Linked DNA regions of Nothobranchius furzeri. The protein of the gene in region 4 binds, or shares a complex with, the protein of the main gene of each other region. Links are inferred from orthologs where the notes say so. Each region holds a gene or a part of one and is shown on either strand. Other genes may lie near its edges.

Region 1 (3,935 bases), on a different chromosome or scaffold from region 4:
AGGTTAGGAGACACATAGGAGGTTTTCCAGCAGATAAGGACGCATGACTCGTTTCACAGGTGATGCAATAGTGAGAGGACAGTGGAAATGCTCCTCTCAGCTACTACACCTGAGTGCTCTCCTTCCACTTCCTCCAACTTTCATTCCCTCTGCGCAGCACCAGCGTTTCCCTCTGCGCCAATCTCTTTCCCACTCTCAAGTCTGCAGAGGTTTGTTTCTTGAACAGCAGCTTAAAGTCTCCATCGGTTTTTGCCTAATGCGAACCACCTTCTTCTTTCAGGGCTGACATCTCCTTTTGCAGCACCTGGCAGGTAAACTTCATGGATAGATTATAGTTTATTACAAAAGGGTGTGTTGTGTGTTCATAATTTTTGTATGCTGTGTTGCTTTCATGGCAGATGTCCCCCATCTTTGTCTACCAGCATGGCTCCAGCTGTTGTTCCAAAAAACCAGCCGCTGACGAGTTTCACCTCCACCAATACCAGCAGTCGGCATCGTTTTAGAAACAGATCTTGTCTTCAGGCGTCCTCCACATCAAACACAAACCTAATCAAGACAAAGCAGTGAAACGGGTGCCAGGATTCTTCTCAAAGTTCAGCTGCATTTTAATAGAACAAGTTATTTTTGTGACAATGATGCTTCATTGGGAAGATCTAACAGAAAAACACATACGTTTTATACCAAATCTCACTTATCTCTTCGTCTTGTGACAATAACATGCTTTAATTCTTCTGATTATTCTAATGCAATCTCATGATTTCTCAAATAATATTTTCAGTACATGAAAATAAATGTTGTAAAAAATATAAAATAAAATAAAGCACTTGGGTGTTTCATGAATTTTGTTGAAACTTTCTGTTTTGGTCAGAACGTTTCAGTCCCTCTGAAGCAAAAAGCTCCTGAACAAAGAGCAGCGTAAATGTCGGTAACTTTGTACAAAAATTTCTTTTGTAATTAAAAAATAACTAAATGGTCAACAAATCTAAACCAGATGCTAACTAACAGTACAGAGTGAGTCAAGTAAACATGATTTACTTCAAATTTACAAAAGCAATGATACAAGTGGAACAAAATACAAAAATAAATATTTTCTATTATTTTTTAGCATTAAATTTAAAATTGTGTGAAGAAAGTGTACCAAATCCTATATGCAAATACATAGTTTTTGTCATTTGAGACTGGGAGGTATGAAGTAAGAATAAATCCTGATCAAATGGAACACCAGAACATATGTGGACGTCAGTCAAACTGTTGGAGATGAAACTGGCTTCCTGTGTGTCTAACCATTTCCCGCAGGGCCACAAAACCAAAGACAGCCTGGATCAATCAGAAAACAAAAAAAAAACAGATTACAATCAGTCACAATTACTTGATCTCAAATTTGAGAAAACACAATAACATGTGTATTTAGGTGCATTTGCCACGTAAAATGGAGCTGAGAATCCAGTCATACCTGTGTGAGGATAAATATGGCAAGAACTATGTGGACACCTCTCTCCAAGGGCAGTATGATTATGGCTTCATTAAAAAGTTGAAAAAGAATGAGTGGAAACTGCAGCAGGATGCTCAGCAGCCAAAAGCCGGCCAACTCTGGAACCTTCCACAGATCAGAAATTACATTCAAACCCCACCCTGCATTCAGCACCTGTATCATGTCATCTGAGATGGTCTCACCTTTTCTTGCAGGTTTCCAGAGTAACCAAGATAAAGTCTGATGGCCTCAATCAGAGTCATCAGTAGAAGAACAGTCACAAGGACAAACTTGTAGTAATTTGGAAGGGCAGGATACTGCAAGAACAACTACCATCAGCATTCTTGTTGTGTTGGAAGCTTCAAAACATACATGAAAAATCTGATTCTAAAATGAATTGCTATAGTTTAATACATATCCATACTTAAGCACCAAAGTATCCTAAATCTAGCTTAGATATTTGGGATTTTTCTTTCTTTCTGGGTTTTCTGCTCGCGGCTTCCATCCACCAACCTCGTACCTTGAGGTGAAGCATCACAGCTTCACTGATCCACCAGAACGGGAAGAACCACGTGTTAAAGTACAAAGACATCTGGAGCTGGAGGCTGGACAGAACCCGTTTGTCTAAACACATACAAAAAAAATGAGGGGAACTAACTAAAATCGGTATGGTAAAGTAACAAGGCTACACACATCCATGCTAACATCCATGCTAACTCGACTTCATAGTTAGCTTGTGTTTTTGTTTTTTTTTTTTACCGTGAGGTATAAACGAGTCGTTGTGTTTTGAGAACGGCTCATTACGAGTCTGGTCGAATAAAACATTCCGAGAAAAATCTTCTAAGCGCCTCCTAACTGTCTCCGGCAGCTCCATTGCAAAGAAAATCAGGCTAAAAACAACATGACCAGAGGAGAAACACTTCCGCTTTTTCCTACTAGCTCCGTCGTGAAAGCCACCGTCGTTTCCATGGTAACCATTGATGGTAGTGGGGGTGAGAGAAAGTGAAAGGCCAGAAGCAAAACGTGTCTCCTTTTGCGTTTTCAAAACTTCCCAGATTTTAACTACATTGATAATAAAAATTTAAAAAGCGAGACTAGATAGGGGGGAGAGTATAATGTGTAGCTCAAATAATATTTATGGAAGCTGATTAACGCTACTCATTAAAAAATATCTCATTTCATTATTATGAGATAGCATTTGATATGGCTTTATGTCTCAGAATAATTAGTTACTATGAGACAGCATCATAATTTTTACTAGCTATCTCATTATAGTGATACTAGGGTTGCAGCTATCGAACATTTTAGTATTCGAACATTCTATCGAACCCTCTGTTGATTCTCTTTGACAATGTTTTAAGTGAAACAAAATTGTGGCTTTCTGCAAAAAATGTGTATGTAAAAATAGTATGTATTCAATAGGTGTTGTCTAGTTCCCTCCCTCTCTGCACCAGTAAAATTTGGTGCACATATTTAAACCCTCCCACTGTCCTAATGGGTGTGACCCCACGAGGAAAGTTGACCATTGAGCAGGGTTGATGGTTTATCCCTTGGGTCCACGTGGCAGGGGTGAGGAGTGAGCACCACCTCACCCCTGCCACGTGGACCTCAAGGGATAAACCATCAATCCTGCTTTATGGTCAACTTTCCTCGCGGGGTCACCCATAAAGACAGTGGGAGGGTTAACAAAGTCTTGAATCAGTAAAAAATAGTTCATGAAATTTAATTAATCAAACCATTCATACCATTTAATGATTAATTTCCACCCTACGTGATGAGATGTGGGGCTGAAATGAATAGATAGTATCTCATAATTATGAGACGCTATCCCTAAATAATGAGATTGTGTCTTGTTATTATGAGATAGGTAAGTCATAATTATGAGATACATTTTTTTAATCAGAGTGGCAGGAATGGGCTTCCATACTTATGGGAACCATGCTCAGTAAGTTTTTTTTAGTTATACAAGTCAGGCAAATAACACCAGGAGGAGGAAAAAACCTGTTTCATAGTTGTTGTTTTTTTGCTTTAAGAGAAAATGAAAATTACTGATTGTGTGTGAAGCCACTCCCGCTCTAGCAGAAACTAGGATGGCTGCAACAAGAGAGGCAGCTGATTCTCTGTCCAGCTACATGTGTTCAAAGCTGATGAAGAACCCTCTTTACTGTGGACATGTGGACTTCTGCATGGACTGTGTGAACAGCTACTGGGTCCTGAAGGAGACGAGAGGTGTTTACAACTGTATTCAGTGTCTACACACATTCCCCTCAAGACCTGTGCTGAACAAGAACACAGTTCTGGCTGATCTGATAGTAAAACTGGCTAAATCAGACCAAGCCACCATTGCTGGAGAAGAGGAGTCTGGGTCAGAAGGTGTGGAGTGTGATTTCTGCACTGTGAAGAAGCTGAAAGCTATCAGATCGTGCTTGGTGTGTCTGGCCTCTTATTGTGCCACACATGTGCA
Region 2 (4,625 bases), on a different chromosome or scaffold from region 4:
AAGAGAAAGAAAAGCAGAGCCACTGCGGCACTGGCGTGGACTCCTGTTGCTATAACGTTACATCCAACAAGTCATGGAACTGTAACTGATGACTTTTTGACATTTAAAGAGCAAGTCACCCCCAAATCAACATTTTTTTCCTGATAAACTAAATAAATGTGTGTCTAATCGTGCTGCAGACACGTGTCGTAAATAGTTTAGCACTTTAGTGCATTTTTGTTAAAATTTAAATTTTCTGCCTAAAACTGTCAGTGTCGTGCCGTTGTCAGGTAAAAACTCTGCACTGCATTTGAATTTAAATCTGCCATCGCTATTGGCTAAGAGGTACCCTAGAACGTTAGCTGGTACCATATGATGTCACAGTGTCGTTGTGAGCCTGTGTGTGTGTGTGTATTTCTTAGCAAAACTATTGACACTCATTTATATAGTTAATCAGCAAAAAAAAAAGTTAATTTGGGAGTGACTAGCTTTTTAATAACAAATTCACTCATCCTTACTCTTTAACCTATAACAAACCTTTATTTTATAGTAATTTGGGTTTTATTCAGCTATTCCGTTTGTCTTTTAGAGAGAACCGACCAAGTGGGAGAGAGCTAAGCTAGTTATCCACTAGCTGCTGCTGCTGCGTGTTCTTTGTGTTACAGCCTTAACCAGAAGTCGCTTTACTGTTGAATATTAAAGGTCATATATGTATATATATATATATATATATATATATATATATATATATATATATATATATATATATTTCATTAAGGATGAGTAAAGGATACACAGGAGACCCTGAGTGCTGTTGAACATAGACACTCCTGAAAAGAAGCCAGCCAGCTCGATTACAAACAGACCAAGTGTGACTGCCAGCGCCACCACCAGCCTGGAGGGAACAAAAGAGATCATTTAATCCGAGAACCTGATAATACGAGTGTGTTACATACATATCTACTCACTTTTTGTCTTCGGTATCATACTGCTCTGGTGTGAAATCCAGTGGTAAACATGCTTTTACATTATTTTCCTATAAAAAGAAAAACAATTGCAAATTATTTCAAGGGCTGAATAATCTGGATGTGATGTTGACCGTAGAGCAGTGGTGTCCATCCCTGCACCTCGAGGGCCCCTATCCAGCATGTTTCAGTGGTTTCTCTGCTCTGCTGTTTTTAACCAAGAGGTGATTAGGGTTGTCACGGTAACCGGTGTAGCGGTAAACCCCGGTAAAAAAGTTGACAATAATAATAACCGTCTTGTTTTTTTAAAAACTATATTATCTCGGTGGATTACCGTGGCTGCGGTGTAGGCGCGGTGACCCTTACCAGCCACCGTATCATCTGCTGAAGTTGCCGGCGGCACATGCGCACTTTGTTGTTTACAACCAAAACTTTCTTGAAGCTAAAGCTGAAATAACGGACAAAGGAGGAGACGGCAGCACTCAGGACATTTATTATCGCTCTAAGAAGACAAAGTCAGAAGTACGGGCATTTTTTTATACCAGAAGAATGCCGAGGGAAAGCTGATAGAAGACGGCTATCCTGTTTGCAGCACGAGCAGAAAAAGTGTCTGTGAAAGGCAGCAACGCTTCAAATCTCATGACACATCTGCGTGACCATCACCCACAACTCTACAGTCAACGCAAGGCAAGCTAACGTTAGCGCTTTAGCTAAAATGCGTGATCCGAGGATTTGGGTTGAGGGAGAACGCAACGAGTCGCTATATAAAGCAGCCGCAGCGCCGCTACCTGCATATAAACCGTGTCGCGGACACCGCCATGTTGAAATGACGCTATGCATTACGGGGCTCCCAGGGGCAGATAAGAGTTGGTCTCTCTCCGAGAATAATTATGAATTTAACAACGATTACTGCCTGATGCCATTTTCCCACATCTGCAAAGCTCACTGGAAGGACACAAACCGAGGACAATATTTTCCTGATATAGGGTTTATTACTCAAGTAAGGGTAAAAAGTATCTGATTAGAAGGCTACTTGAGTACTGAGTATCATCTGGTCTAATATTTTTAAAATGATGACATCAAACAGACATAAAATAAGAAAAGTTATGGGCAAATATTGGTATTTTAAAGACTTAAGGGGAAATATGTAAACAAATAAACAACATAATTACAAAATAACACATTTTAGGCAAAATTTAGACACAAACTGAGGACAATATTTTCCTGATATACAGGGTTTATTTAGTTTCCTGAAAATGTAACACGTTTAAAACAATACCACGATAATACCGAAAACCGTGATAATTTTGGTCACAATAACCGTGAGGTTAAATTTTCACACCGTGACAACCCTAGAGGTGATTAACAGCTTCTGCAGACCTAATCATGCTAAACAGGTGACTCAACCATTGAATCAGGTGTGTTTGGGCAGGGAAACAACCAGAACATGCTGGTTAGGGGTCAATGAGGACACTTCCTGGAACTTAAATGACGTTTTATAACACAACAAGGAATATGTTTTAATTACCTTTGATGTTTAAGCAGAATTTCTAACAATGTGTTTGTGTGTTCACCTTTGTGGTATTTCATATAACAGCAACGTCTAATAAAACCACAGATCTAAAATCCCATAAAGTTTTCTCCATTATGAAAATAAAATCAGGCACAAGAAATCAGATTAAAGATAAACCATTTTTTTCTTACCCTTGACCAAAAGATGGTGATAACAATGACAAGATGAGCTGTGATGGTGAGAAACCGAGCAGGAACAAGGCTGCTGATGGCCGACATGGTGATCCTAATCAGCAAAGTAAAACTCTAAAAGCTCGTGAGTAAAAAAAAGAGTAAAAGGTTTTTGTTTACTGCGACGGAAACCACTCAGTAAGCTAGGCTAGCATGTAGCTAAATGTGCTAACTTTAAACGAACACTTTAGCATCTGTTTATCTTGCGGCTAATGACATAAACCAGCTGATTCATTTGTTTGTTTAAAAACTCGCGAAGTCTATAGCTTAGTTTTGTGTCTCGTTCGTTAACAGAGCCAAAAACTTCACGTTGTGACGCAACTAACGGTTGCTACAACAACCACGGACAATGTGCATACGGTTTTAATGACCGGACAAAAAAACGAACACCTAAACGGTTCCGCGTTGACCATGAACGCGTCACGTAAAAGAGTTTTTAATCAGCAGTAAATAATATAAAACAGAGAAACCCAAACATCTTATTTAGTAACGGTGGGTAGTCAGCGCGTTTCATTTTTCCTGGTCAGAGTTAGTAAAAGAGGTGTAGCTTGACGTGTAGCTGGATATTTATTTATTTATTTATTTATTATTTATTTGTTTATTTATTTGCTTTTTTTATTCATCAATACTGCGATCTGATGGTAACACCTGATGTCTTTTCATTTTTATCATAAAAATGCTTAAAACTACCCGAAAATTCAGGTTCCCCGAAAAAAAAAACAAGACAAAATGAAAGAAATAGAAAGGGCCACCAGATCCGTTCGCTGTTGGATAAAACGGTTTTATTTTTAAAAAGACAAACAACAACCGCATGTTTAATTGGAATTGGCAGGATAAACGTGCCTGTAAAACAAAACAGCGCAATAAGAAACGAATGTGTTTCTGTTAGATGGTCTGAGCCAGAGATTTCCCACCCCCATCCCACCAGTGGACTCTTCCCCCGAGGCAGACTGAACCGATCCAGCGTGCGTGAGCAGCGGAGCGGCACCAGCCAAGGCCCGGGCTTTGCCTCGCGGCCAGGAGAAGAAGACAACCAGCCGGGGTTTTCTCCAGGAGATCCTTTTGAGTCGCTTAAATCGAGAAAGCATCATGGCCGAGTCGGAGTTCCAAACCTTTACTTCTATCATGGACGCGCTGGTTCGCATCAACGTGAGTATGACGCTGGCTTTATTAGTCACTTCAGCCATTTGTGCAGTTTCAGTCTGGATGTTTTAGCGGATTTCCCCCCATGTTTCAGATATGAAGCCATCTGCATACAGATGTGTCCAGCTGTGATGATGGAGCGTGCTAATTCCGTTTGGAGACATGATATCAGCGTCACAGTAAAGCTCTGGCACTGTGTAAATAACAACAAAACAACATTTAAAACGTGGAAGCTGAAGTTGATGCGTTTGATTTTTTTACTGTTGGACTAATTTAAATATGTTAGAAAATAGCACGAGAGGCGTTGGGCCGTGCACACGAAAAGACAGAGATGATGCTGGTTGTCATAGAAACGGGATGCTGCGCCCTCTAGCTGCAGTGATGGAAAAGAGCCACCACGTCCACGGAAACTGATTTTCATCATGCTTTTTTTCGTGAATTTAACATTTTTATTGTTTGTTAAACATTTGAGAGAAAATGTGAGCTAACTTCGTTACATATTTTCTTTCTGGTTATTCTAACTTTACACAGTTACTCTGTTCACTTGACAAGGCCGAACATAAGAGGCTTCAGATAAACACCTCATGCATTTGTTTCTGACTCAGGTCTTTTTGTCTGTTCTCTCTTTCGACCTCTCCCACATCCACACTGCCTCTCCTCCAGTCCAACATGAAGAGTATGGAGCAGGAGCTGCATTGCCCGGTGTGTGACGAGACGGTGAAGCAGCCTATCCTTCTCCCGTGCCAGCACAGCGTGTGCCTGCTTTGTGCAGCTGAGATGCTGGTCCAGAGAGGT
Region 3 (3,229 bases), on a different chromosome or scaffold from region 4:
ATATTTGGTTACTACACTCGTGTGCCCCTTGGTCATTTGGATTTGTTGTGCAAAAGAAAATAACTGCTTGTACAATCCGGAACTTCTTATTTTGTTATTCATCGTTTTTACATTTGATTGAAGTCTTTTTTCGACACAAACGTCCTTTAATGTCCAGCGTCCCCTTTAAGGACTCTGGCCAACAGCTCAGCGCCCAATCACGGCGCGTAAACTGAACTCTGTTGTTAGCAGCTAGCATTAGAAAAAACAATTCCAATTACCGGAGCGATATTTTCCTCCCTCTGTTCATTTCAAAACCCACAGTTGAGAACAATTGTATTTCGGTCATAATAGCCAAAGCAGCAACGAGCCTCTTTACTCGGGTGTACGTGCTAAATACCGGGAAAAATGACTTCTGCACTGGTGAGTTTGGCTAGCACTTGTTACTGTAGCAACTGAGGAAGTTCGTGTCTGATTTGTAGTAGACTACTTGTTTTGGTTAACGCACACACACACACACACATGTTCAAATATTCATAACGTTACAAATATGAAATATTAGGTATAGTTGGATTGATGGTAAACGGTAGATGAATAAGAAACCAACTTCAATGATAAGTGTTTATTTATAGCTGTATTTCAGGTGTAAAAACATCAGCATAGAAATGTACAAAACTTTGCCGTGTGTAATTTTTCAAAGGCATTTGCGACAAAACAAACTTTTTATAAGAAAACAATCAATACAACATTCTTATTTGACGTCTCAGCTCTCGACGCCATGTTTGTCAAAGTGTCTTATGATGACGCCCAGCTCCAGATTCACAGTGCCCATGGCCTCGGTGTGCAGTCTGTATCTGTCCGCTCCACTGTAAATCAGATCCGGGTTGCGGAGCTGGGGGCCTCCGCCGACAAATATTCGTGCTAGCTGCTCTTGCCAGGAGCCGAGCGGCCTCCATGTCACACAGCTTATGCGGTGATGTCCGGGGCTGGAGGGAACGTGGCAGTACCCGTATCCGTACAGCTGGTAGCGGCCGAATGAGTCCTGGTGCCACACTTGCAGATGAAGCTTCGGCCAGCCCTGGAGACCTTTGGTCGCATAGTGCAGATCAATTGGGTGGCTCCAGTAAGCCATTTCTCCGCTGTGGGGGGAATCCACCTGAGTCTGACCCTCCTTCAGCCCCGAGAGAAGACGCCATGCTCCCCCCGTATGAACTTCCCATTTGCAAAATAGGCTTTTTTGAGGAAACCCGCTGGCCCCGATGATCTGTCCTATAATGTGAAGCTCTGCCATTTCACAGCTGTCCGCTTTAACCAGAACATGCGACACACGGAGCCCGCTTTTATCAAAGGCTACAGAGCAACAAACGCAGCTCACGTCTCCTTGGTAACCCAGCCTGCCATAGTGTGCTCTTAATACAGCACTCCCTGAGCAGAGTCTGTCAGGCAGCACTTCCTGTCTAGGGCTGGTTCTATTTTTGAAGGCAAATGAGACACATTTTTATATCTTCTTGCTAAAAAAATATTACTTAACCTTTAATTTAGTAAACTAATTACGAATTTTAACCAATTTAATTAATGACGTGAAGCAGCTGTTACATAAATTACAATCATACCTGAAAGACTGAATAAAGGGTATACAAGAACCGCTGGTTTACTTTTTTCCGAATAACTATTTAACAGCGCAAGTTCAACAAGATGGCAAATGAAGTGCACTGTACTTTTTAATGTATTGTTTACATCTCAATGGTGCTTTATTTTTTAAGGTTATAAATTCTAAAAAGCTATTTATTTAGATATGCTTTCTCCTGCTTTTCCTGATGACTGTTCATCTTGCAACTTTTATATAACTCAATGGATAACTAAAGAAAGTAAAATTTATTTATATAGAACCTATTGTAGAAAAGAAAATCATGAAGTTCTTCAATGAAAATTACATAAAAAATAAAACATAAAATACAAAAAAGAAGAAAATATCATTTAATAACAAAAGTGGTCATAAAACAAATGAAAAAATAATTTCCAAACATAAACTTGTAAAATAATTGAAAATCTCTGTTGATTTCATCATAGTCTGATCCAACCCTAGAGAGAAATTTCAAGGGTCACAGGGACGTCGTGACAAGTGTGGACTTCAGCCGCAACATGAAACAAATTGGTAATATTATTATTATTTGATCTGAGCCTTTGTCCGTCTATATATTCACCTGTTATCCAGTTTGTTGTGTGCACATTGTAGTTAATACCAATCTCTTGCTTCAACCAGCTTGTGCTTCCTCCTTTCTCAGTCACAGGCTCTATGGATTCTTGTGTGATGATCTGGAACTTGAAGCCTCAGATGAGAGCTTATCGTTTCGATGGACACAGAGAAGCTGTAAACTCTGTCCAGTTTTCTCCATCTGGTCACCTTGTGGCCTCGGCCTCTAGAGACAAAACTGTACGTCTCTGGGTGCCCAGCATGTAAGTTTATACGTAGCAGCATTTTATGTTGTTTTCTTCTCATCAAGTTTCTCCAGAAATTATCACTCAAGACAAAGCTGTGGATTCCTAAAGGCAAAAGAACAAGATCTGCTGATTACTCTAATTTCATCATACCAGCGCCCTGAATAAACAGTGTGTTTGTCTGCTTTATGTATGAATAATACCTTTTGTGTTTGCAGGAAGGCTGATTCAACTGAATTCAGGGCTCACACTGCCACTGTGCGTTGTGTTAACTTCTCCGGTGATGGACAGAGCCTGGTCACAGCGTCTAATGACAAAACAATCAAAGTGTGGACGGTCCACAGGCAGAAGTTCCTCTTCTCTCTTAACCAGCACATCAACTGGGTCCGCTGTGCCAAGTATGAAACACACACACTCCCATTTAATACCACACCATGCAAGTTTCCCTGTGATATTTGTAATGATGAGTAAAGTGTTGTACAAGTGTTTAAAAAATTTAATATGTGATGTCAAGTTTTCACCTTTTTTTTTTACACTTTTCCTCTCAAATGTTTAATTTTAAAATTTTAATGTGCTTTTCTCCAGGTTTTCTCCAGATGATCGTTTAATTGTGTCCTGCAGTGATGATAGAACTATAAAGCTATGGGACAAGAACAGCAGAGAGTGCATTCATTCTTTCTTTGAACATGCTGGGTGAGCTCGAGATGTATAAAAAATGTATTGATGAGTGCACAAGAAAGAGTAGAAGTATGAAGATATGTCTAATATTTTTATCTGAAGTGTATTTAAAGGTAAATCTTACAGTATTGAA
Region 4 (3,997 bases):
GTTCACTGTTTCAGGGCGTGACACTTTTAATCCAGAAACATCAACTTAATACATAATTCCCCTTAGCTAACATTGGTTAGCTTAACGGCTATGTACGAAAAAAAGCATCAACACTCATTCCGCAGTAAACAGCCCCAAACAGTGAATCTAAATAACCACCAGGGTTTTAGTTTCAGAAAACCGATTTCAGTTTTCGTTTGAGCATTAGGCTAAATCTGACACAAAAAAGAGAAAAGCGACCAGCGGCCCAGTTCCCATCGCTACATGCCTACTAGAGATACGCTAAAGCAGCCATACATTGACTAAGACACACAATTTACACATCAAAAAATTACACGATTGCAAAATTAACGTGAAATATGTGTACTTAAGTACCTGGTCGTGTGTGAAACTGAGAGGGAAAATCGCTGAACGGTCCTTTCCCTGGTTGGAGGAAGATGGAGAATGGTGCGTTTACAGTCATGGAAAATTGGACTACTTCCCTTTGGAGCTAAAACGAATGCTACGTTGGAGGACAACCCGCAGTCAGATAATGCGGGTTTCAGTCCATTTGTTTTGTTTTAAAAATGGGGAAAATATACCACTTCATTGCATATTTAATTTTTATTTAGTTAACCTTTATTTCAGATAAGAAAAATAAACAGTAAAATAAATAATAAAAGAAAACAGTACCTTGAATTTTGTAAAAAAAAACTGCTGGTATTATAGTACATTTATTAGACAAGTGTTATGCTCCATCTCCTAATGTTGGTGTAATAAATCGTTTCTGATGATTTTTTAAGTTAATAACATTTGTCAATAAAATGTCAGTTACAGTCTGAGAAGAACAGAAGATGACTTGAGACAAACTTTTCAGTTTTGGAAGCTTGTGCAGGATCCTAAATGCATCTTGAAATGTCAGTTTTAGTGTGTTTTTGGTTTTTATGCAGAAAATTCCAGCTCGAGTTGGGAAGTAGAGTTGATGGCTTTTTGTGGGAACGTTTCTCTGGCCTCTTGTAGCTTTTTGTATGCTCTTTGAAAGGCCTCTGAAGGGAAATAAAACAAACAAACAGAAAATACAAATTAAATTAACCCTGCAGAAAAATTCCCTGTTCTTTCTACATTTTTGTCTACTTTGGGCAATCAAGCTGCAATGCAAGGCTTGGTATACAGTCCATAACATTTTGTGAGTGTCCTAACAAATCCATCTTCCAGTGGTTTGAAATAACGAGAATCTAAATGATAAATGACCCATAATTGTATAGCGCCTCTCAGAGTAAGGACTCCAAAGCGCTGTACACTACAGTGTATCATTCATCCATTCACACACACATTTACACACTGATGGTGATGAGCTACGATGTAGCCACAGCTGCCCTGACGCTCGCTGACAGAGGCTAACTGGTGGCATTATGCTAATTTTCACTCCCGCTATCATAAAATCATTTCATGGTAAAAATAATAAATGGTGGAACATTCAGAGCCTGATTACAGTAAACTTTTTCACTTAACCACACACACAGAACTCACAGCTCACACAAACAAGGATACACTCAGCAGCAAACAGGAAGTGAAAGTCTTTTAAACCCTGATGCAAATACTGTGTGAGTATGTTTACCCAGAACATTGCAAACATCTCCCTGCTGACTAAATCCTCCCAGCTGGTCGATGACTTTCTGCCTCCTCTTTTTCTGAATGGCAGCGTCAACAAAGGCCCTGAAACAACCAGAAGCGAACAGTAAACACTTTTTAAAAGTAAAGATGAAACAATTTGCATTAATAATACAGATCTTTGTGAAATTTGTAAATGGAACACTTGCATTTGCATTAAGAAATAGTGTTTTGCATGCAGTGCAGAGAGTAAATCTCACTTCTGATGTTTTATTCATTCCATATAAACTGTTAAGCTGTCAGGGAGAAAATCAGAAACAGCTGCTTGTTGATTAAACTGGTCTTTACCTGGCTTGTTGGATGCAGTTCAGATTAAATGTGACACTTCCTGAGGTTAGACTGCAGAAGCCCAAGCGACTCAGCCTGTCTCCCTGAAACCAGACACCATTGTACCAGATTAAGAATCATAATAATGCATTAATTTACTTGCTTGCTCAGGTATACACAGTTAACTTGGTGATAACGAAATAATGCTACAACTACCACAATGTATATTTTTAAAACATCATGTTTCACCCATTAAACCTTCAGGAGAAAATTTATGCAAAGGTTCAAAACCTGGAATTAGCTTAGCTGTGAGTGCACCTTGAAGGTCCCTGGTATTCTGACATAGCTGTGATCTTCAATCTCTGCAGAACCTCCGATAAAAAAGCGCCTCAATGCAGAGACCGTCCCCATCTGAAGAGGTCGCCATGTGTGACAGGTCATGGTGTGCTTACCTGGGATGCACCAGAAACAGAATATATGATGGAGATGAATGATGGAGCATGCAGAGGAATTATTATTAACTTTTCTGAACCATGTGAAGTTAAAAATCTTGCATATTTGAAATTGTTGGTATGAATTCATTTGTAGTACAATCTTTGGTGAATTATCTGAATATCTTTAAATTTTGTTTTTGAATGTTCAGTAGATAAAACTCAGTCAGGGGTGTCGAATCCTGGTCTTGGAGGGCCATCGTCCTACATGTTTTAGAGGTTTCCCTGCTTCAGCACTACTGATTTCAATCAGCAGGGGATTAGAAGGCTGATCAAACCATTTAATCTGGTACTTTGGAGCAGGGAAACAACTAAAACGTGCTAGGTAGGGTTTCTTGAGGAACAAGGGTGGACATCCCTGGACTAAAATAAAATAACACTTTTAAAGACAATTAAAAATAACAGTAATGTGAATCTAAAATCATCTAAATAATAAAGAAGTAAATTAGTCAATGAGTCTTATAGATGCAGCAGCATACCAGGAATAGCTGGAAAAAGCAGATAACCATAGCCTTCAATACGATAGCGCCCCCACAGGTCAAGAGAAAGAACTTTGAAGTAAAGCACTGGCCACTGGGGAATTAGCTCTGAAATTAAAAAAAGTGAAAACACTTAAATTTAGACTTTTAAATCACATCATTTCAAAATGAAAAGGCTCACGCTGACCTTCACTCTCTTTCTCACTCTTGTAAAAAATCTCAAAGTTGAAGGGGTAACTGAAGAAAGCCACATTTTCCTGTTGGCAGAGATCAACGTGTGTCAGTGTTCATGTTCTGAAGCAAGTAACCAGTTTCTTACGTCAAACACACACCTTCCCCAGTGATTTGGTTCGACAAGTCTGGGTAACCCCTGACAGAAACTGGGGCATTGAGCTGGACCAATCTAAAACAAAAAAGTTTACTAAGATCTCACTAAAACTAAATATCACAAATGAGTATCACAGACGGCTTGTTACTCACTATTGGGAAGATCCAGGACGAAGTGGACGTGTAAGTTATCATACTCAAATCCTTTAGCCGAGACTAAAGAGAAAAAGAGGGAAAAGAGAGAGTGGTAGTTTGAAAGTTGATGGGTAATCTAAAAAGATAGCGATCACAGCCGTCCTCCTCACCGATCTCTCCATCCATCAGGTAACGTAGCGTACCAACAGCGGGCTGGACAACAAACATCTGGTTAGCGAAAAATGTTTGCAAAGAAACAAACGTTCCCACTGGTTCATCTAATGCACTTTAATCAGTTACCAGCTCAGAGGCCTAGTGGTAGAGGGTCCGCCCTTGGACATCGGGGTTCAAACCCGGTCGGGTCGTACCAAAGACTTAAAAAGTGGGACTTTAACCCTTCCCGCTTGACACTCAGCTTTAAGGGGTTGGGCTGGGGGGTTAACCCATAAAATAGCTCCTGAGCGCAGCCACAGCTGCAGCTCACTGCTCACCACGGGGATGGGTCAGACGCAGAGATACGTTTCACCAGTGTGTGATGATGACTAAGGGACTTTAACTTTATTTCCAGCTGTTTGTCCTTACAGGTTTGTAGATCTGGTAAATCCTGCTGCTTTAATATACAGTGTAATGTTGGGAGATTTAGGGATT
Region 5 (4,484 bases), on a different chromosome or scaffold from region 4:
CTGAAATTCATGACTGATATGGTCAAAGTTTCATAGGAACCCGTTCCAGGTGACTCCATGTTTTCCCTACAGCTCAGTCAGATGCCAGCTTTAGGATCAATCACAGCATCATCCAGACTCCACCTTCCCATGTGACCTCCGTGAGAAGATAACTACAGTCAGAGCATCCATTTATCAGCCCCTCTAGTGTTCCTGTGTCGGTTTCTGACTGGTTGTTTTCCAAAAGGCGAGTCAGCTCAGAGTTCAGAGGTTGTGGCTGACTGCTCTAAATCCACGTGGAGGAGTTGGTGTGGCTCAGTCCGGCGTGGCAGAGTGGACGTGTGACGGTCCCACGTCGTAGCCCATCTTCTTCATGTCTTTACTCATGATGTGAAAGGAGACGGTTACAGAGCCTTGGGAACAAACTCTTGTCACTGAAACGGAAAAATATATATATGTTAAAAGTTTTATTCTAGAAAGGTAAAAGAAGAAAAAGCACCACTAACCTTCTCTGCCTTCACCCTGGGCCACGACCTTAGGGTCTGTGTACTCGGGCCGCCGCCCCAGCAGCCAGCTGAACAGAAATAGGATCTTTTAGCGTGTTTCTCTGAAACAGTTCACAGCTTCCTGAATAATTTGCATCCTTCACGAAGGCCGTGCTAATGGCTAGTCCCAGTTGCTGCTGTCCTAAAACGGCACAGGTCTGCTAAAGCTCACTGTGGTTCATCACATTCTTTACAAATGTAAACATCCCCAATAAACTAGCATTTCTGGTGCATCAGGGGTCAGGTCCTGCAGGAATTTATTCATATTTCTGCTAAAATGTCTATGTGATGAGAACCTGACAGCAGTGAAATGACCTCACATGGCGATCTATGACATTTAGAGGCCTGGATGTGGCTCATCAGTCCTCTAGGATGCACAGTCTGTTTCTCTGACCAGATAATTAGTAAGTTTTACACAAAACGCTCCTCAAAATGGCAAAAAACTCCATCAGATCTAATAATAATCACATTAATATTCAGTTTTCATGGTAAAAATGAAAAGAAAAACACTAAAAAGACTGAGAGCAACATCAAACAAGCCCGAGTGTGAATCTAAAGTATCCAAACGTGACAAAGATTAGTCAAAAATGAACCTTTAAAACGTGTGTTTGTGTTGGAAGCTTGCGTTCCACATGAGAGGAAGATGAAATATTTACTGTTCCTCTAAAGATCACGGGTTTCCAACAGCTAAGGAGACCGATCTCACCCTGTGAACTTCTGAAGTCTCCACGTGGGCTCGGGAACGAACATGGGGATGGATCTTTTATGTCTGACAAGTGAAAAACATTCAGATCTGTATCTTCAAACCGAAGTAACACATTCTGTATGCTTTTAGGTCAAACATGAAAGTAATACTGACTGTCCAGGTGTGAAGGGGATGTGCGTTGCTCCATAGCCTCTGACCACATCGTTACCAAACACATCTGGTCCGTACACACTCACCACCAGCTGAGGCCCTGGGGGACAAACGGCGTTAATCCTAAAGAGTCACACATGATGATGATGATGATGATGAAATTGTGATCTACTCACACCCAAAAGGATTTGTGCTCTTAAACGTCGTCTCCAGAGGAAAGTTCCAGACTAATCTCTGTGTCTGACTGTTTTTGCAGGTTATTTGAGTTATTCCTTCTTCCAGTCCCTGGAGAGTCACATTCGTTACAACACAACTCCATCCAGCCACCGCTGCATTAACTATCTATAAACCCTGTTCTGTATCCTTGAAAGTCACGTCTGACGTTATTGGGCAATACCATCGTCCGATATTGGCATTAAAATGTAACATCGTTGAGTTATCTTTTTTACTGTTTGAATGACACAACCTTTGCATAACATGCTCACATTATACATCAAACTCCTCAAACACATCAAAATATGGCTGATCTGAGGTTTCGTTTGTTACTGTCTGCATCTGTGTGGGTTCGTGTTCAAACGTAGTATTATCCGTAAAAAAAAGCATATTGAACATCTTTAACAATAAGGTTTATTGTTATGAACCCATCTGTAAACACAGCATCCACATATGTGGAAAAAGCCTTGAGATATCATTTTGTTTATATCTTACAAAATTGTATTATTACTCAAGGAAACGTAATTAATTATTTTTAATTTAGAGCTAAAAAAAATCCATTATCAGTTAGTATTTGCTTTAAATAATATATTTCTGAGGTCTTACAAATCCAGAACAGATAGATGAAAATTAAAAATGCACAATAAGTGCTCTCAGAACCCAAGACGTTTATTTTACATGAACGAAGAGTGGAAAAGAGACATCTTGCCCAATAGTGAGCCATATCTGATCACCCATATATTTCCTCTAGTTTCTATATTAAAACATTTCAGAAAGTTACATGTTTTTTACACTTTTGACGTCATGTGATAGTTATGTTTTTATAATATGCTAATAAATTGTTTATATAGCAGTCTGATCTGTGTAATACATACAGTCTAGTAGAAGTATACCGGCAAGAATCCGGCCAGTTTAGTCTCATTCTCACCCTTAATTCGTGCATAATAAACACTTAATGGCTTTAAAACGTTGAAAACATTAATAACATCACTATAATAAATGTATTAGTATTGTAAAGTGGTACCCAACAAGCATACTTCATGTTTCATCCTAAATGCTAATGGTTGTAATACTCACTGTGGTTGGAGCCCAGTCGTGGCCGTACACGTAACAATATTTGCAGTACAGATTGTCATGCTCTGGAAACTGAAATAAAAGACAAACATCACCATAAACAACCCGGAACATCCCGGATGAAGCACCAAACGAGCCATTGTTGCTAATGCTAACGCTAGCAGCTAAGCTAAAACTAGCTAAAAAGACGACTTACGTTCGCTCCCTCAATCTGCCCGTTCACCGTGAGGAGGAACACGCTCGGGTTGTTTGTTGCCATCGTGACTCCAGAGGTTCAAGAAAGTAAAAGTCTGTTAAATAAGTCGAGCTAATTTGGTCAGTCTGAAGCGATCCGAGGTTGTTGCTAAGGCAACGTTTACTCCTCCCTATGGCTACCGGTTTGGATAAAATTAAACGCAATTCTTATTGGTGATATTGGGCCATCACGTGTTAAAATTAATTTTAAATAGAGCAAAAAGTAATTCAAGAAATTCAGTCAAAATACTTATTTTTATAAACACCCGAAGTTTATTAAAAGGAGAAAAGAAGGCGGAGAAACAATATAAAAACTCTGGTTTAATTGTCTAGGCGTCCACTAGAGGGTAGCAAAATCAAATACACTGACTTTTAAAAATGCAGGTTCGTTCTCATTCACGACTGAAATCACTTCACGACCAAACATGTTTGAAAATCGTTTTTTAACCTTATTACCAGCCCTGAAAATGTTATTTCTCAACCATCGTTTTATTGTTTTGTAGGCCCAAAGGACTGCAATGTCTGTTCAACAATAACTGAAACAAAACAACATCCAAAACAAGAAGCCTAACTTAAAATTTCCAGCTAACTGGACACCTCCAGTGCTGTATATAAACATGGATGTCTGCTTTTCCTACTGCGCCACATGCTTGAAAATCAGAAATGAATGAAACCAAAAAATCTGCATTCCAAAGTATGTAAACCCCTCTGGCACGTGTGTCTAAATACTGTGTTTTGTTTCAGATGTGACAAAAACAGCTCTTTCTTTCAGCTGTTTCATACCCAGCAACCTTTTTTTTTTTGCTCTTCTCTCAGCTCTCTCCCACACAGTGCTTCCTGCTGTCTCCAGGGCCCACCCCAAGTCTTCTGACCTTTGCAGCTCCATAAACAGCAGCTCTTATTGCACCTGCTTCCTTTTATCTCCCATTTTGTCTGCCAAGCTCAGCACCTGTATCACTTTTTCACCTCCAGCTCTTTTTTGATCTTCGCGATCATATGGCAGGAACTCGATGCATTTAGAAATCTAGCCTAACCCTTTCTGACCACTTGGACCCATCTTCTGATGGCTACTTCCAGCAGGATCATGCACCATGTCACAAAGATTAGATAATCTCTAACTGGATCTGGAACATGACCATGGGTTCCAGTTACCAAATCTCAGTCTGGTCCAGAATCTTTGGGATGTGGTGGAATGGGAGATTCCCCTCATGGATGTAAAAGTGGGATGACATGGACCAGAATCTCTGAGGACGGGTTCCAACACCTTGTTGAATCTATGACAGGAAGACAGGGAAGGCAAGTTCTGAGAGCATAAGCCTAGAAAACTAGACAAACCAATGCGGTTCAAAAATATTTTACCCTGCAGGTCGGTCTACCCACACTCTGTGGCCTAAACAACTCTTGGTCAGGCCAATCAGTGATCCTTGTTTGGCTCAATTTAGTTCAGTTTACCAATACAGCGCCAAGAGTTGTCTCTGGGCACTTCACAAAGTAAACATTGCGATTAGGGATGGACAATATATCGGCATCAATATCAGTATCGGCCAATGTTAGTCATTTTTAACATATCAGTATCGGTTCGA
Region 6 (3,866 bases), on a different chromosome or scaffold from region 4:
TATGGTGATGTAAATGTTTATGAAATAGCACTTACATGAGCTGCTAGTGTTTTAGATTAGTGTTGTTTAAAGATGACACAAACACTTTGTAATTGGCCCTACTCATACTAGCTGTTAGCTCATCGATCTGAACTGACCTGTGTTCCTGAAAACTGAAATAGTTACCTTTAACAGGACATATGCCAACTGTTTATCCTTTTCACGAAATCTCACTTGAGACCCTCTGAGCTGTCCCTTTAAGGTTTTAATCTCAACTCTAGTCTCTGTCCAAGTATAAACTGGATTTTATGGGGGCATGGGACATTTTCATGACCCTCCTTGTCCTTCCTTGCTCTGCGCCTCCTCAGATGTGCCGCTGTCCTTTGAGCCTGATGGAAGCAACAAAGTGATCCTGCTGACCTCTGGGAAGCTGGCATGCTGCGTTTCCTGGGGGATCGGGGAAGATGATGTACCGCGCGCTCCTCCTGTTTCCCAGCAGCTAGGTGCTGCACACAGGTAGTCTCTCTAGGAGAGATCCACTGGTTTAGATTCTTTACCAGTGGGGTTCTTAAACTGGGATCTCTGACGATCACAGGTGTGATCAAAGTTTTTCTGCACAGATGTACGTAGTCATAATTACACTGATCTACTGAGTGTGTGAGTGCATGCATCAGAAACGCTGCTATACACACACGTGTGTTTGACTGTACTTACTGTGATTTTTGGACTGCAGAGAATAGAATAATAATGGAAAGGCTGCATTCAGATTTGGGGCAGCAGTAGCTCAGGTGGCAGAGCGGGTTGCCTCATGATCGGAGGGTCATGGGTTCGATTCCAGCTCCCGCCAGGGGTATCCTGCTGTTGAGTCCTTGGGCAAGACACTTCACCCAACTTGCCTGTGTTAGTGGTGGTCAGAGGGGCCGACGGCGCCAAATGGCAGCCTCGCCTCTGTCAGACCTCCCCAGGGCGGCTGTGGCTACAAGTAGCTTACCATCACTAGCAGTGTGTGAATGTGAGAGTGTGTGAAAGCGTCTTTGGGTGTCTAGAAAAGCGCTATATAAGTTCAATGCATTATTATTATTATTATTATTATTATTATTCATAAATCTGTTGTGTTTTCCTGTAAGACAGCATTTAGTCTAGAAGTACAGCAACTAGCAAACACTATGAACACCATGTGGTATAAAGATGTTGGAGTTGGAAAATGATGAAATGTGGAGCCATAAAATATTTCATCTGCAGATGAAACAACCCAGTTACACGGCCCAGGTTTCAGGAGGACGTGTGTTTCCTGCTTTAGTTACTGATATTTACACATGCCTTCAGCTCCTCTCAGAAAGACGTATGGAAGCTTCAAGATTCTTTGAATGTTTTAGGAAAAGGTTTAGCGCTCGTGACTTTTGGGAATGCTGCTGAAGTGACCAGGAAGAAAAGGTTTGGAGCAACTGGTCCCAGGTGTCAGTTTTCCAGCAGTAGTAAATCCCACAGAGCACCCGTGACACAGAAGAGTCCATCATTGACTTTGGCTCTAAACATTTGGGCTCGCCTACACTAGCAAGCCACCTGAGCAGGCTTTGTTTCTGTGATGTTAACTCTAATCAACCCGATGTCTCAGTGGTTTGGGGCATCTGGACGCAGTCACTTATATCGGTGCATCTGGACTGTACGACATGAAGAAGATTAGTGAGTGGGCCACACAGTCACGACTGGATCCCAATGATCCAAACAATGCCTCCATCATGCAGCTGCTAAAGGTGAGCAGCAGAACCATTCTGTTGGTGCTGAAGATGGCTCAAAAGGAACCCGGCTGTGACGAGGAAGCTGTTGGTGTGTTGACAGGTGGCCAGCAGCGGGGAGGTGACCGCTCCGGACTACTTCCGTCTGGAACACCTGCAGGAGGAATTTAATTTTGCGACTGATGAAGAGATGGAGAAATCCAAACGATTCCGCCTGCTCAGGCTGAGGCACCAGGGAGTCCCCGAGTTCCGCAACTACAAATTTGTTCCTGCGTTCTCCAGTGAGACGTCAGAGGAGGTGTTCAAGGTCAGAGTCTGGCAGATACACACATCAGAACACGCAGGATGGAGGTTTCTTTTCATTCACTTTGGCTGGAATGTTTTAGGAATATGACAGACGACTGAGAGATGAAGAGATAATCAACAAGGAAGAGCATTTGGATTCTCACAGAGCTTTGGTGGCCAGATATCTTCAGAAGGTAAGAAGGCACACATGTTAGAATTTTAATTTTAAAAACAGAACAGCGTCTAGTTTACTCTGATCCTTCCGTTTCCCCACAGATACGAGAATCCGTCATCAACCGATTCATTCAGGCCAAACATCACTACCTGCTGTCTGACTTGGTGGTGGAAGAGGAGATCCCGAGCATCGGGTAAACCCTCCAGAAGACTAAGCAGTCTGACTTTCTTCTCCATTTGATCTGGTCATGTTGTGTTAGATAAACACGTTTGATCTTATAACTCCTGTTAAACCTCTGCGTGTTCCTTTTGTTAACATGAGTGCAAAGGTGCAGGCAAAGCCACAGTTCCCATCTGTAGTTGAAAAGGCAAGGTTAGATAGCTGGTACCACAGAGGTCAGGGCTCTCGTCATCACAGTCAGCTCAGCTGGGAGAGGGGCAGAGTCAGCGTTTGGCACAGACTGAAGTAAGTACATCTCCTCTCATGGAGCTTTTCCTCTGATTGATCTTCACACAGCAAGAGTTCTCCTCTTGAATTCAGACGATTATGTTAAAGCTAGGTCTCTCACAGTAGGACCATCAACATACATACTGGACAATTTGTGTCCAAAGGCTCCAGTAACACGTTTTTGTGCCAAAGTGGGAGGTGGCCACCACCGCCATTTTGACCGTGTCACAGGTTCCGTCAAACCCAGACAATTCCATAAAAGGGGAAAGAGGTGGAGCTGAGGGTGGGGCTGTAAGGCTGGGATCAAATGACGACACCCGTCGAACTGAAGCGATGTCGCTACAAGCTAACCTAAAGCTAACACGGAGGTGGGAGCTAAGCTAACGGAGGTAGCTACCTAGCGGTGCACAACACCAGAGCTTCTGAGTCAGAGATACGCCGGGCTGACCGCTGGGTAAACCCGGGTGGAACACAGAGGTCTCCGAGAGCTCCACAAGCCGATAGCCCACGCAGCAGACAGGTGCCGCGATCAGACAGAGATGCGCCGAGCTGCCGCTGGGGGGAGAGGACCATACCGATAGTGGGAACCCAGCTCCACCAACATGTCATATTTCAGCCCATTTTCTAAAGTGCAGCATTATGTTAAATGCACTGGGTTTTACCCTATTACATTTACATTTCATGGTTAAACAGTACATGTTCAAATCTAAGCTCAGCTCGGCAGTGACCTAAAATACATAAATATAATTTTACTTACCGAAAACAATGAAGTGGAGACTCCTTGGACGCTCTATTAGTGCAATTAATGCCACAGCAAGTCATTTTGTCCAACAATTGCACAAATAATATCCAAACAAGAACACACACACGCTACAACTAATGGTCTAAGTTGAGAGACTCAAAATCCTGGAGCAGTTTCCAGGCCAGACCGAGGCTCTACTGAGGCCTTTCCACGGAGCTAGCTCTGTGGTCACGTGGGTCTGATGCTCATTAATTATACAGAATTTTAGGCTTTCAATACACTTAAACAGAAGAGTGAGAAAAACATTCACCCCCCTCAGAGTTGTCATGAGTGTAAACTAGATCATTTAAACCAAAAACATGTTCTGGTACCAGGCTGTAAACATGTTTATTTCTGCTGTGAAATTGGTATTTTTAACATGGGAGTCAATGAGGATTTGCTCGCTTCTGACACCAGCCCCTAGTGGATGAGGGTGGAACTGCAATTTATTTCACTTCCTGTT
Region 7 (4,582 bases), on a different chromosome or scaffold from region 4:
TTAAATATACAGTCTTGCTTATTACATACAGTGACAGCCACTTTTAGGAATATTAAATGGCAAATAGGTCAAAGCATGATGTTAAGATCCTCTTAAGCTGGGGTATTCACATTTTAGCACACCTGATTCAATGGTTTCATTATCTCACATTGGTTCAAATGTGTGAGCAGAGAAACAACTAAAACAAGCAGGCAAATTGCCCTTGAGGACCGGAATTAAACACACCTGCTGTAAAACATACAATCTCTGAAGAGAAAAATAAGCCTGTATCCAAATAGGACCATGACTTGCCTCAGCCATGGGGGTGCCCCAAAAGTCATTGAGAAACAGGTTGCGAATGGGGGTGGTGGGCCGGAGGTCCTTGTTGTCGAGGATAGCTGAGACATCATCAAACACAAAGCCACACGAGAGACTGTTCCAGTAACATCCCACCACCAGTCCAGTCAGAAATAAAATCTCCTTCCATGACACGACAGCCATGGCTGGCCAAAGCCCTCATTGATCACTGCAGGGAAGGAGGGGTTGGCAGAAATCAAAATTAATAAGCACAGTTTGATTTAGTTTAAAACGCTTGTATTGTACTTACATTACCAAGCTGATTAAACAGAATTAAACTTTTAAAACTTTGTGTTCCGAGGTTAGAACAGGTCATGAAGCCAATTACATCAAATGTTTTCTGTCTAACTTGAGCCCTGTTATGGCAACAAACTGCAATTTCAACAGTATTTTCTTCTCTGATTGACTGGATTATTTATTCTAGCCTATAATTAAAAGTAAGGTATTTTAATGGCACAGCAAGTAAAGGTATGCATGGAGACTGACCGTTGGCTTTTAAGCTTATCCGGTCAAACCACGACCCGGAGCTGTGACATTTGTCAGTAACAACATCATTAGCAATATAACTCGCTCATTAACATCTACTTTAAAATACAGTATGACGGAAAACGAGGTGGTTCTTGTGTATTCACAGTGACGAGACACCACTAAAAGAGCAGTAAGAGAAACTCAGTTTGACAGCTGAAACTGAACAGCTAGATACTTCATCCGCTAATGCTAACTAGCTCGTTACCCGTCTTTATGTTCTGAAATGTCTAAATATGCGCATTAAGGTCTATCTTACCAAGTGATTACAGGACAGACGGCAGCAACACCAAATCTTATATCAAAATCAAGAAATAGTAGCGTAAATTCGGACAACATAGTTCATCAAACTGTTTTCCATTTGTGCAAACTAGCTTAAACGCTTCTTCGATAGTACTTCCGGGTCAGAGGTGACTGCGCAGGTCAAACTTTAGCTAAACAACAGAGCTGCTAAACCCGTTTTGATGGATGAAACTCACTTTACAGACTCTTCGGAAACGTTATAGTGCGGTATTCCTTTATTATAGGGTCCCGTTTATTGTTTCGTTGTGTTTTCGTTGACGTTTTGTAGCACTTGAAGATTTTTGTGAGTTTTACTTCCTAGCTGTAGCAGTTGTGAAGCGTAACCTAGCAGCCAAAGCCTCACAGAGACCTCAGGAGTTAGGATGAGAGTTTACTGACCTTTTTGCTTCAAAACTTCAGAAACGTTTACACGACGTGTTTAAAGCAGCCTACCAAAATCTACGTTTTATATGAGGTTACAGCGGAGCTGAGTAGAGTTATTTGGTACACCTGACGGCTGCAGTAGCCTTTTAGTCGTTGTCTCGTGAAAACATTGATAACCACAGCAGTTGTCCAAAATGCTGCCAGCCGGCCATGTGTGGAATAAAGTGTCAAGATTTGACCCCTGGAACGTGCATGAATGGAAAAAGGACGAAGTGGACGATGTTGTCCGCACATTTATTTCGGTATTTGTCCACTCTTAAATCATATGAACTCTCCAGATGTGCTCTGTCAGACTAATGCTTTATTTTAAACAATAGAAAACGAGTTAATTCGAAGCGAGTGGAGGAAACAAGCGTTAAACCTCATTATTACTAAAACGGTTGCATGAATTGTCCTACTTGAGCTACTTCTGTTTTTTTGTTGTTGTTGTTGTTGCTGTTTTTAGACTAATCTTTCAGGAACACAATTGTTATTATTAAATATAACCCAAGTACTTTCAGAATACAGATTTCAACTGAATATTTTATTTATTAATAATGAATTCACTGTGAATACATCTGTAAATATTTTTCACATCATTGTATTTAGAGCCAGTGCAATGAGAGAAGAGATGGGGGGAAAACAAGCTCCCATAACAAAACTCATATTTTCACTTTTTATCAAGTCCTTTTTTTGTTAAATATCTATATTTTTAAATACATTTGGGAGTAATTTGAGGTTTAATGCATACATTTTTGTAAAGATCTTTCATTTTAAAAATGAATAGCTGTCATATGTTTAAGAAAAGCCTGTTTAGCAGAATAACTTCATAAAATAGCACAGAATGAAATAAATTCAAGTAAGGGACGAGTAATTGGTTATGATTAACTGGACAGCATTTTGTTTTGTTTGTAAAATACAGAAAATATTATTGCAATTCTTTTCAACAAAATGTACTTTGGGGCAAAAAGTATTTGGCAGCCACTGATTTTACTAGGTGTCCCACTTGTGTGGTGTGGGTGACTTATTTTATCAATCTATTTGTAGTGGTCTCTAGTAGGAATAAATGCCTTGTAAGTCAATATACTAGTAGCCTGGCAAGCTATACTTAATAAATATCTTAGTTTGGCAATGCTCCATTGACTGTTCTTGGTTGTGGGGCAGTTTCTACCATGTCTTTCAAAGGATCTCCGTATGCAACTGGACAACGAACAAAGTGACGTACTCACCGCAACGGATGCCGGTAAATGAGGCGGTCCGCTGGCAAAAATAAATCCTTTTTTCTAATTAAAGGACTTAAATACATCTATCTGCTCCTGATTCTAATGAAGCCCAAGTCCAAATAGTCCAAAATTGATGTAGAAGTTGTTTCAAATGAGCGGTCGCCATTTTGTTCCACTCTGTCGCATCATCCTGCCCACCAGACCGATTGGCCCACAAAGCTGATAGAACGCTAATGCAGGAGATTAGTGTAGGAGACGTTTTTCATGTTCAGCCTGCATGAAAAACTCACAGTGACCGATTCATTAAAAAAATGTTTTTTTTCAGTCAACCACACCTTTAAAAAGATGAAAGAGTACTTTTCATGAAATGTACACCTCAACTGTGAGAGAAAGATAATGTAAAAAAAATCCTGGAAATCACATTGTATGATTTATTTTGTTTATTTGTATAATGGTGCAAAAAATAAGTATTTAGCACCTACAAACAAGCAAGAATCCCTAACAAACCCATTACTTCACCTGTCTTCTATGCTCTTCTGTCCCCCAATTGCTGCATGTGTTAATGGCAGCTGTTTGAACTTGTTAACTGTATAAAAGACCTCTGTTCACACCTTCAAACAGTTAGACACCAACCTCCACCATGGCCAAGACCAGAGTTGTCTAAGGACTCCAGGGACAAGATTGTACACCTGCACAAGAATCTACAATAGGCAAGCAGTTTGGTGAGAAGAGATCCACTTGGAGCAATTATTAGAAAATGGAATACATGCAGGGTCACTGGACATCTCCATTGACTTGGGGCTCCATGCAAGATCTTAATTAGTGGGGTACAAATGATCTTGAGAACAGCTCAAAACTATATGAGGGGAAATGGTCACTGACCTGAAAAGAGCTGGAACACCCTGCAGCGCCCGTAAGGTCTCCCTTCTTATGCCAGCATGTCCAGGCCTGTCAAATAGAATACAATAGACTTTATTGATCCCACAGAGGGAAAATTCACTTGTTGCTGCAGCACCAACACTGAAGAGAATAATTTGAAGATAAATAAGATTTGCTGGAGGCCATCTGGATGATCAAGAGGAGGACTGGGAGAATGTCATGTGACCAGATGAGTGCAAAATAGAATTATTTGGTATAAACACCAATTGCCATGTTTAGAGGGGCCATAATGCTGAGATGCATCCCAATAGTATCACACCCTGTGTGAAGCATGGGGGTGGAAACATCATGTTTTGTGATGCTCTTCAGTTAAGGGGACGGGCGACTGATCTGTATTAATGAAAGGGATAAAAGGACCATCAACAGTGAGATTCTGGGCAAAAAAATTCCTCCATCAGTAAAGGCACTGAAGCTGAAACGTGGCTGGAAATTCCAGCTACTGTGTCCAAACCTGATGAGGACCTACAGGAAACGTGACCTCTGTCATAAGTATAGAGGTGACATTTTGTTATAGACCAAATACTTATTTTCTGCACCATTGCACAAATAATTTCTTTAAAATCCTCCAATCCTGTCTCTCACAGTTGAAGTGGGACTTCTTGTACAATCGGTGGCTGCCAAATACGTTGTTCCCCACTGTAGCTCTTAGATAGTTTTGACTCTATGTCCCCTATTTCACAGGTGAGCAATCATTGTCCTTAAGGGCTGCTTTCCAGCATGTTTAGGTTTTTCCCTGTTTCGACACACCTGATTTTAGTCATCAGGTGATTAACAGGCTTTTGCAGACCTTGAAGAGCTGCTGAGCATATGAATAAATGTTATGGAGCATGGAAACAAATAAAACATGCTGAACA

Evidence for each region.
Region 1: mks1 (region 4) and tmem17 share a complex: the UniProt entries of both Homo sapiens proteins name them as parts of the tectonic-like complex. The link is inferred for Nothobranchius furzeri from reciprocal best matches to the Homo sapiens genes MKS1 and TMEM17.
Region 2: mks1 (region 4) and tmem107l share a complex: the UniProt entries of both Homo sapiens proteins name them as parts of the tectonic-like complex. The link is inferred for Nothobranchius furzeri from reciprocal best matches to the Homo sapiens genes MKS1 and TMEM107.
Region 3: mks1 (region 4) and b9d2 share a complex: the UniProt entries of both Homo sapiens proteins name them as parts of the tectonic-like complex. The link is inferred for Nothobranchius furzeri from reciprocal best matches to the Homo sapiens genes MKS1 and B9D2.
Region 5: mks1 (region 4) and b9d1 share a complex: the UniProt entries of both Homo sapiens proteins name them as parts of the tectonic-like complex. The link is inferred for Nothobranchius furzeri from reciprocal best matches to the Homo sapiens genes MKS1 and B9D1.
Region 6: mks1 (region 4) and cc2d2a share a complex: the UniProt entries of both Homo sapiens proteins name them as parts of the tectonic-like complex. The link is inferred for Nothobranchius furzeri from reciprocal best matches to the Homo sapiens genes MKS1 and CC2D2A.
Region 7: mks1 (region 4) and cep290 share a complex: the UniProt entries of both Homo sapiens proteins name them as parts of the tectonic-like complex. The link is inferred for Nothobranchius furzeri from reciprocal best matches to the Homo sapiens genes MKS1 and CEP290.

The regions. Positions count from the first base shown.
Region 1 is NC_091744.1:77,712,782-77,716,716, reverse strand, and holds tmem17 (transmembrane protein 17B), read right to left. Parts: upstream 2,429-3,935; 5' UTR 2,346-2,428; coding exon 2,231-2,345; intron 2,096-2,230; coding exon 1,992-2,095; intron 1,789-1,991; coding exon 1,675-1,788; intron 1,598-1,674; coding exon 1,454-1,597; intron 1,318-1,453; coding exon 1,240-1,317; 3' UTR 582-1,239; downstream 1-581. Other genes in the region: agbl2 (cytosolic carboxypeptidase 2), read left to right, coding at 60-209, 281-311, 399-567. UniProt on the Homo sapiens protein: Transmembrane component of the tectonic-like complex, a complex localized at the transition zone of primary cilia and acting as a barrier that prevents diffusion of transmembrane proteins between the cilia and plasma membranes.
Region 2 is NC_091745.1:78,310,705-78,315,329, forward strand, and holds the start of tmem107l (transmembrane protein 107), read right to left. Parts: upstream 3,043-4,625; 5' UTR 2,736-3,042; coding exon 2,649-2,735; intron 1,016-2,648; coding exon 948-1,015; intron 875-947; coding exon 774-874; intron 50-773; coding exon of another isoform or gene 1-49. UniProt on the Homo sapiens protein: Plays a role in cilia formation and embryonic patterning. Requires for normal Sonic hedgehog (Shh) signaling in the neural tube and acts in combination with GLI2 and GLI3 to pattern ventral and intermediate neuronal cell types.
Region 3 is NC_091743.1:62,503,081-62,506,309, forward strand, and holds b9d2 (B9 domain-containing protein 2), read right to left. Parts: upstream 1,709-3,229; 5' UTR 1,271-1,708; coding exon 743-1,270; 3' UTR 587-742; downstream 1-586. Other genes in the region: poc1a (POC1 centriolar protein homolog A), read left to right, coding at 388-402, 2,050-2,134, 2,265-2,436, 2,637-2,816, 3,004-3,111. UniProt on the Homo sapiens protein: Component of the tectonic-like complex, a complex localized at the transition zone of primary cilia and acting as a barrier that prevents diffusion of transmembrane proteins between the cilia and plasma membranes.
Region 4 is NC_091750.1:66,889,655-66,893,651, reverse strand, and holds the end of mks1 (tectonic-like complex member MKS1), read right to left. Parts: intron 3,563-3,997; coding exon 3,520-3,562; intron 3,431-3,519; coding exon 3,368-3,430; intron 3,291-3,367; coding exon 3,220-3,290; intron 3,145-3,219; coding exon 3,075-3,144; intron 2,996-3,074; coding exon 2,888-2,995; intron 2,370-2,887; coding exon 2,236-2,369; intron 2,022-2,235; coding exon 1,939-2,021; intron 1,696-1,938; coding exon 1,598-1,695; intron 1,026-1,597; coding exon 922-1,025; 3' UTR 589-921; downstream 1-588. UniProt on the Homo sapiens protein: Component of the tectonic-like complex, a complex localized at the transition zone of primary cilia and acting as a barrier that prevents diffusion of transmembrane proteins between the cilia and plasma membranes.
Region 5 is NC_091752.1:49,447,925-49,452,408, reverse strand, and holds the start of b9d1 (B9 domain-containing protein 1), read right to left. Parts: upstream 3,116-4,484; 5' UTR 2,927-3,115; coding exon 2,864-2,926; intron 2,740-2,863; coding exon 2,671-2,739; intron 1,666-2,670; coding exon 1,557-1,665; intron 1,481-1,556; coding exon 1,384-1,480; intron 1,294-1,383; coding exon 1,231-1,293; intron 554-1,230; coding exon 486-553; intron 414-485; coding exon 295-413; 3' UTR 1-294. UniProt on the Homo sapiens protein: Component of the tectonic-like complex, a complex localized at the transition zone of primary cilia and acting as a barrier that prevents diffusion of transmembrane proteins between the cilia and plasma membranes.
Region 6 is NC_091748.1:39,038,065-39,041,930, forward strand, and holds part of cc2d2a (coiled-coil and C2 domain-containing protein 2A), read left to right. Parts: intron 1-347; coding exon 348-495; intron 496-1,594; coding exon 1,595-1,733; intron 1,734-1,818; coding exon 1,819-2,022; intron 2,023-2,101; coding exon 2,102-2,194; intron 2,195-2,276; coding exon 2,277-2,368; intron 2,369-3,866. UniProt on the Homo sapiens protein: Component of the tectonic-like complex, a complex localized at the transition zone of primary cilia and acting as a barrier that prevents diffusion of transmembrane proteins between the cilia and plasma membranes.
Region 7 is NC_091744.1:50,508,374-50,512,955, forward strand, and holds the start of cep290 (centrosomal protein of 290 kDa), read left to right. Parts: upstream 1-1,513; 5' UTR 1,514-1,721; coding exon 1,722-1,829; intron 1,830-4,582. Other genes in the region: protein O-mannosyl-transferase TMTC3, read right to left, coding at 292-480. UniProt on the Homo sapiens protein: Involved in early and late steps in cilia formation. Its association with CCP110 is required for inhibition of primary cilia formation by CCP110.